Mus musculus: one gene and its partner. The protein of the gene in region 1 purifies or fractionates together with the protein of each later gene. This does not show direct contact. Links are inferred from orthologs where the notes say so. Each region holds a gene or a part of one and is shown on either strand. Other genes may lie near its edges.

The links.
Region 2: the proteins of Sertad4 (region 1) and Ppp2r2c purify together in Homo sapiens (affinity purification with mass spectrometry; 3 studies listed by BioGRID and IntAct, counting the BioPlex papers as one, with this or other methods). This does not show direct contact. The link is inferred for Mus musculus from reciprocal best matches to the Homo sapiens genes SERTAD4 and PPP2R2C.

Annotation. Positions count from the first base shown.
Region 1 is NC_000067.6:192,848,964-192,852,786, reverse strand, and holds part of Sertad4 (SERTA domain-containing protein 4), read left to right. Parts: intron 1-1,039; exon of another isoform or gene 1,040-1,094; intron 1,095-1,643; coding exon of another isoform or gene 1,644-1,660; coding exon 1,661-1,835; intron 1,836-2,920; coding exon 2,921-3,036; intron 3,037-3,823.
Region 2 is NC_000071.6:36,923,922-36,927,744, reverse strand, and holds part of Ppp2r2c (serine/threonine-protein phosphatase 2A 55 kDa regulatory subunit B gamma isoform), read right to left. Parts: intron 1,461-3,823; coding exon 1,295-1,460; intron 215-1,294; coding exon 102-214; intron 1-101. UniProt on the Homo sapiens protein: The B regulatory subunit might modulate substrate selectivity and catalytic activity, and might also direct the localization of the catalytic enzyme to a particular subcellular compartment.

The DNA of each region.
Region 1 (3,823 bases):
CACATACACATGCACACACATCCACAGGCTCACAGCATGCACACACACATGCACAGACAAACAGCATGCACAGACTCACGGCATGCACACACACACACACACACACACACACACACACACACACATCCTTTTTCCCTAAGCCATTTCTGACATCTCTTTGGAGAGAAAAATGGATATGCAGTCTCCAAGGACCAAGTCAGCTATGTCCTGATTCTATCCACACATTGGCGACCCTGCCCTGTCTCTGTCCTCTGCAGGGCTTCAGCTGAATCCCAGAACACAGCCACCTGGTGAAAGACAGTCAGCTGTCAGTGGCTGCTCTGGTAGCCAGAGGATCTTGCCACCTTATTGAAGCTACATTCCTCCCTTTCCCCTGGGTGTGCACTGATGTCCTAACATGTAGGGAACAGTACTCTCCATGAGACAGTGATAAGCTTATCCTTGCCCTAGCCAGAAGGCAAAAGAATGAACTGGGCCCTTGCTATAGCACAAGGAAAATCCATCTTGAGCAAGCAAGCCAGATAGCATTTCATTGACAGGTTCTTAAAACACAAATGGGTCTTGTGGGTCTGGATGTCCTACAGAAACCAGGAACCAGAGGTGCCAGCCAGGTCTTCACTCTGGCCTGTGGCCCCAGGATTTTCCTGCTGTCCTACCTGGCTCTTATCTACCTGAAACATACTCTTGACAATATCTTGAGGGCCAACATATCCCCATAGCCTGGATTTGACAGGATCAGGGTCTGGGTGCATCACGAGTGGCAGAGGCTAGGCTGCTCCCTGCAGTCCTGAGGTCAGGGCTGGGAACCAGAGAGGGCTGTGTTGACTCTTGGAAAGTTCCTGCCATGCATCTGGCTTTGCAGTTTAAAGAGTTGCTGGCTGTGTCTGCCCGGAGCCCTGGCTCCTGTTTAATATTCTGCTGCTTGGTTGATGTTGTGCTTGGCTCCTGTGGGACTGCAACTCACGGCTGGAAACTGGAGCCAATTTTCTGTCTTCATCTCGCAGTGTTTTGACTGGAGGCAGATCCAGTTCAGGCCGATCAGGGCTGTGGAAACAACTACCGAGTGTCTGTCAGCCTCACCCTGGGAGGAGAGAGTAGGGGAAGATCCTGAGTGTAGAGGAGGAACTGGGAAGAGAGGAGAAAGCTGGGGAAGAGACTTAAACTCACCAAGTGTTGGGAGGACCCTAGGGACTTCCACCCCCTCCCCCAATTGATTAGCAGATCTCATCAAAGGGGTCTCCTAGGGGCTTGAATAGAAAATTGATTTCACCTTATTAGTAGAAGGGAGGCTGAGGGTTCTGGCCCTTCCTCTTAGGGGTACATTTTAAAGGTCGGGAGAAAACTGTATTTGGGAGGCAGAGCAGCTGTCTGAGAGAGGCTGAGGGGATCTGAGAACAATAAGGAGAGTGGGCTCTAAAGATCCGCCCTGAAATGCAGAGCTGCTGATCTCAGTGGCTAAGCTAACAGCATCAAGAGCTTGCTAAGGTTTCCTTGGAAAAATAATCAGATGGTTGGGGGATGGGGGGTGGGGAGGAAGTAAAAGTTTCTTCAAGCACAGGAAGATGCTGAGACCATCCTCAGGCTGGCTCCTAATCAGAGCTCTTTATCTATCCCCCCTCCCCCTCCCCTCTTTTCCACCCCAGATCTAAGGCTGTTAGAGATGACGCTGGTTCTGTCCATGAATAGATTCTGCGAGCCCATTGTCTCAGAAGGAGCTGCTGAGATTGCCGGGTACCAAACACTATGGGAGGCTGACAGCTACGGAGGTGCGAGCCCCCCAGGGCCAGCTCCAGTTCCTTCTCAGGGAGACCGGGGAGCCAGCTCACACCTGGCAGGTATGGCCTTTGGCCTTCTCCTTAGGAGGCAGTGTCTAGTCGGACCCTGGGGCTGGGCTCCTTGGGAAAGCCTGTGGTTACCACTGTGGATGTCCGGGAACAGCATTTTTAAAGGGACTGAAGTAGATAGCAAAAGTTTGGATTCCAGCTTTCAGACCCGTTGGAGCGAATGGTCCTCAGGGATGTACAAACGGTCACCGACTCCACAGCAAGACCTCTATCACCCCACAGTTCATAAAGGAATCTGCCATAGCTTCAAGCTGCCTCTCTTTGTGGACCACCCGATTGATGAGAAAATAGAATATGTTCTTCTAGACATTAATTCTGATAGTCTCAAATAAGTTCTTCTGTGTTCTTATTCAGTGATCGGTCTGTGGGTCTTCTTTCTTTCTTCCTCTCTCTCTTTCTCTTCCTTCCTTTCCTTCTTTCTTTCTTTCTTTCTTTCTTTTTTTCTTTCTTTCTTTCTTTCTCTCTTTCTTTCTAAGAAACTGAAATATAAGCTTCATGAAAATCTGGTTCCTGAGAAGGTTTTTAAGTCTTCAAAGGGGACCTTTGCTTTATTCATGGTTGACATGTTAACATTTCCAGAGTGGAACATAATTTACTTGCTCCAAACTCTAAACTTTAATATTTAACTTTGTATTTTAAGAGAAAAAATGTTATAACTCCCATGTATAGGTGTGTGGGTTTTTTTTTCTAACTCTAAAGTGATTCGTACCATGGTTCTGCCGCCTGTGAGAAGAGTCTAAGTAAGTGAAGTGCTGGCATTACTTCAGATAGGTCACACCCCTTCCTCCTGTGGATTCTGCTGTTGCCCTATGCACAGAGTTGAGATTCCAGGCACTTAGTAAATGAAGAAAGGTGGGTGACATTTTCCTCTAACCCTGCCTGGAAATCTTTACCTTCCCAGGTTCATAGGACTCTGTCCAATAGCAACTATGAAGACAGGTTTGTCTTTGTGTCACTGAGTGTACAGACAGGGATGTAGCCAAGTTTTCCACTAGAGGGAAAGGAAATGAAAGTATTTTGCTTTGAGAATCTCTGGCAGGCCTTATGTCATTTGTCTGTCTGATTTATTACCACAGGATCACATTACAGGGGAATTCCAAATCCTATAAGCACACCCAAGGTCACATACTTCAAGAGGAAGTATGCAGAAGACGAGGATCTTCACCCACCACTCAGCAGCTGCAGCCATAAAGTACGTTTTAAATAGTAGTTACTTCATTAACAGTTACGATACTTCATAGCACACACTTGAACCATTTCCAGACATTAAATGTTCCACCCAAGCAATAGAAGAGAGCCATTTCTCTGTGGAGCCACGTGAATCGCTGTCATATGTAGGGGGTGGGGCCCTGCACTGGATAGTTTTATGTCAATTCATCACAAGCTAAAGTCTTCTGAGAGGAGGGAACTTCAATCGAGAAGATGCCTCCATAAGATCAGGCTGTAAGCAAGCCTCTAAGGCATTTTCTTAATTAGTGATTAATGGGGGATGACACAGCACACTGTGGGTGGTGACACCCATAGGCATGTGGTCCTGGGTTCTATAAGAAAGCAGGCTGAACAAGCCACGATGAGCAAGCCAGTAAGCAGCATCCATCCAGGGCTTCTGCATCAGCTCCTGCCTCCAGGTTCCTGCTCTGTTTGAGCTCCTGTCCTGACTTCCTCCAATGGTGAACAGTGCTGTGGCAGTGTAAGCCTAACAAACTCTTTCCCTCCCCAGCTTGCTTTTTGGCTGTGGTGCTTCCTCACAGCACTAGAAACCCTAACTAGGACAGAGGCTGTGTTCCTTCTCACACTCCTTGAAGAAAGAACCAGAAAGAGATTCTCTCCCCAGATATAATATTACGTAAGGAAACACATCCTTTTGCCTGTGGTTTAATATTCCCAGGTTGAGGGATAGGGCTGCTCTGTCGTATCATGTGGTGGAGATGCACTTGACTGCGAGGCCACTGCTTATGCTAATTGGGGTTTTCCTGACC
Region 2 (3,823 bases), on another chromosome or scaffold:
CCTGACCCTGGCTCTAAGAGCCCGAAAGGTCCCATGACTTGATAAAACGTAATGCTGACCTAATGTTCACGTAATGGTGACGTAATGTTCACGAAGCTCACCTGCAGTGACGTCACCGTGGACAGGTCCTTCAGCTTTCCCTCCTCATCCTTCAGGTTGTAGCCCTCGGGCCTCTTGTCTCGTTCGGTAATCTTCCATAATTTGATAGTTTTATCTTTAAGGACAGATCAGGGAAGAACAAGGTATTCTGTCAACAGCCAGGCCAGGAAGAGAATACCCACTCTAGCTAGAGGGACAGTGATGTGTGTCCTGGGGCCACCACCCTGGAAATGACCATCCATGTCCCTCTCCCCCCTCACTGTGCCTTGTGTAGAATACCTCTGAATATGGGCAATCTGTTTCTGCTGCATCTTCTACTCACTGGCAGGGGATGTTACTAGGTCAAAAAGCATGCCCCTTGCAAGGGTCACTACTGACCTCTACACTGAGCATGTACCACTGTCCCTTCCTGAGAAGAAGGTGGCCACTCTGCCATTCCTAATTCAGTGGTACTTGCCACCCAGAAGCCAGCTCCCGGAGCCTCTCCCCCGTACTCCTTCCTTGGACGTCACAGGAGGAAGAATCAGTGGCGATAATTTTATGGCTCACCTTGGCTGTGACACAGACATTGTTCAGAACACACTGGCTCTTTTATGAAGGATCCTTTAGAATTAATTAAAATTTAAATCCATAAGCAGATAACCTGCCATCAGGAGATGGTAGACCTCATATCATTGGCTGAAGGCGCTGACAGAATGAAAGCCTACCTCCTTGGGAGGAGGGGATTCTGCCAGCACACGCCCTCCAGGCTTGAGCTGTGAGCTTCTGGCCTCACAATCGCAGGGGTCAGAATCACAGGTCCTCTCCATCTCCACCTCCCCCTCTCTCCTCTCTTGGTCTCTCCCCCACACACCTGGCTTCCCCAGAGGATCCCCGATAACATCCGCAGTCAAAACCAACAACGCTGTGAACATGGGAAGAAGCTAGAGGGAAAACTGCTTTCAAATGGGGCCCTCAATAGGGGTGCAGCCTTCTGTGAGGACAGGGTAGAAATGAGCAGTAAAGCTGGTGTCCTTGGTGTTTGAAGTATTCAATCTCGTCTCCACCTTGGAGCCCTCCATGCCCATTATATCTACAAGGGTGGGAGATTTGTGACCAGTCAGGGAAAGCTGAAGGGTGGCCTGGTTGTCACTAAAACCACAGAGAAACCTGGAAGGCTGAGTGAGTCAGGACAGCCACACCCGCGGGGCCTCACCATTGGTGGACAGCAGCGAGTGCGCGGCGTTCTGCTGCGGGAGCCATTTGATCTTGTTGATTTTCTCCTCTATCTCCAGGCTCTTCAGGTAGTCAAACTCCGGCTCGTGGCTCTGGAAGGTGCTGTATACATCGTACTCACCCTGGCTGTGAGGTGCGTTCTTACTCTGCAGGGAAACCCAAAGGCAGACTGAGCCGAAGGAGTGCCCATGGAAGAGGGAGGCAGGCGTGAGAAGGGGCTGAACACGTGTTGCAATATGTGTACCATCAGCATCAGCAAAGGAAACTACTGATACCGTGTACATGTGTGTACAGGGATGTGTGTGTGTGTGTATGTGTATGTGTGTGTAGGTATGGTACAGGGAGGGTGTGGGTACATGCAGGGGGTATATGTATGCAAGCAGAAGGTGGGAGATTGGAAAGTGTGTGTGTGTGTGTGTGTGTGTGTGTGTGTATGTGTGTGTAGAGGTATGTGCAGGTATGTGTGTGCAAGTGTGTATGTTCCACAGGTGTGTGTGTAGGCATGTACACAGAGAGAGTGTGGGTATATGCAGGGGTATGTGTGTGCAAGTAGTGGGTATCAAAGTGTGTGTGTGTGTGTGTGTGTGTGTGTGTGTGTGTGTAGGTATGTGTACTGGCTAGTTTTGTGTCAACTTGACACAGCTGGAGTTATCACAGAGAAAGGAGCTTCAGTTGAGGAAATGCCTCCATGAGATCCAGCTGTAAGGCATTTCTCAATTAGTGATCAAGGGGGAAAGGCCTCTTGTAGGTGGGACCATCTCTGGGCTGGTAATCTTGGTTCTATAAGAGAGCAGGCTGAGCAAGCCAGGGGAAGCAAGGCAGTAAAGAACATCCCTCCATGGCCTCTGCATCAGCTCCTGCTTTCTGACCTGCTTGAGTTCCAGTCCTGATTTCCTTGGTGATGAACAACAGTATGGAAGTGTAAGCCAAATAAACTCTTTCCTCCCCAACTTGCTTCTTGGTCCTGATGTTTGTGCAGGAATAGAAACCCTGACTAAGACAGTATGGTACAGGGAGGGTATGGGTACATGCAGGGGGTATATGTATGCAAGCAGAAGGTGGGAGATTGGGAAGTGTGTATGTGTGTGTGTGTGTGTGTGTGTGTGTGTGTGCATGTGCACAGAGAGGTGTGTGCACAGTTTTGTATAGGTGTGTGTGTGTTTGTGCAAGTTTGTATGTATACAGGGATATAAATGTGTGCAGGTGTGTATGCATGTGTACCTGGGTATTTTTGTACATAGGTGTGTATATACAGGGTGTATGTGGATATGTGCTAAAGTGTATGCATTGTATACAAAGGGTATGCAGATGTGTGCCCAGAGATTTGTGTGTGTGGACGAGGGTTTGCAGGTGTATATGCAGGTGTGCAAACATGTGTGTGAACATGCACACACAAGGGACAAGGGACAAGCTTAGTATCATCCTCAGAAACACTGCCCACCCTCTTTGAGGCAGGGCCTCTCATTGTCCTGGATCTCACCAGTTAGGCTAGCAAGCCTTGGAGATCTTCCTGTCCCCACCCTCCCCAAAAGTGGGATCACAGGCACTCGTATTTTCATGTGGGTTCTGGGGAACTAAATTTAGGTCCTCATACTTGTGAGACCATGGGTCTCCCCATGTTTCCACAAAGTGGCCACCATTCACCCCGCTGAGGTCAGATGCCAATGCTGAGCCTCTATCCATCCTCATTAGTCAGGTCTTAACCCTGCTTCTCACGGTGGCTCCCACCCCAGTTTGGGTAGCAGAGTTCCTATGTACCCCCTCTTGGTGGAGACCTCCAAAAGCTGAGTGCTGAACCTGCCATAAATACTGGGACCACTTTTCTAGCAGACAAGTCAAGTTTCTATGACAACACAAGATCACAGCTGGGAACGAGTGAAGATGGCCCAGCCAAGCACAGCTTCGGGTTTTCTGCTCGTTTTGAAAGTGCCTATTTTTAGGTCCCCGTCTCTGTCTTGAGTTAGGATCTATTTGAAAATCCTTCCACGTTTTCGCCTCCTCTTCCCATGAGCCCTAGTCGTGAAAAAGGTCAGCAGGAAGAGAGGGAGAGACAGACTAATGGAGAAAAGCCAGGACCTCTGAGCTCCTTTCTCTCTGCAGTGGGCAGAATGATGGCTGACTCTGGTGTGCCCTGGTGGGACAGTTTGGTTTTGTGACACCTGTGTGCACCAGGCTGTCCCTGGCCTGCCCTTGGCGAGCTATTTTAAGCCCTCTATGCTGCAGTTCTTCAGCTGTCAGATGAAGGGTAACAGCAGCTCTCTGTGTGGTGGGGTGGGGATGAGGGGTCCGTATGAGCTAAGGCAGCAAGGGGACCTCACCCTGGAGGGGTGAAGGAGGCTTCAGCTCCTCGCCTGACCCTGCCTCCCTTGAGCCTCTCCCTTCCCTGGTTCCTCATCCCCCAACACATTCAGTGATTGAGAGGCCCCCCTGCTAGGGTGACAGAACACAGCCAAGAACCCAGCAGGTTCCCACGGGGCTTGCTGCTGATTGATCTGTCTGTAAGTGGGTG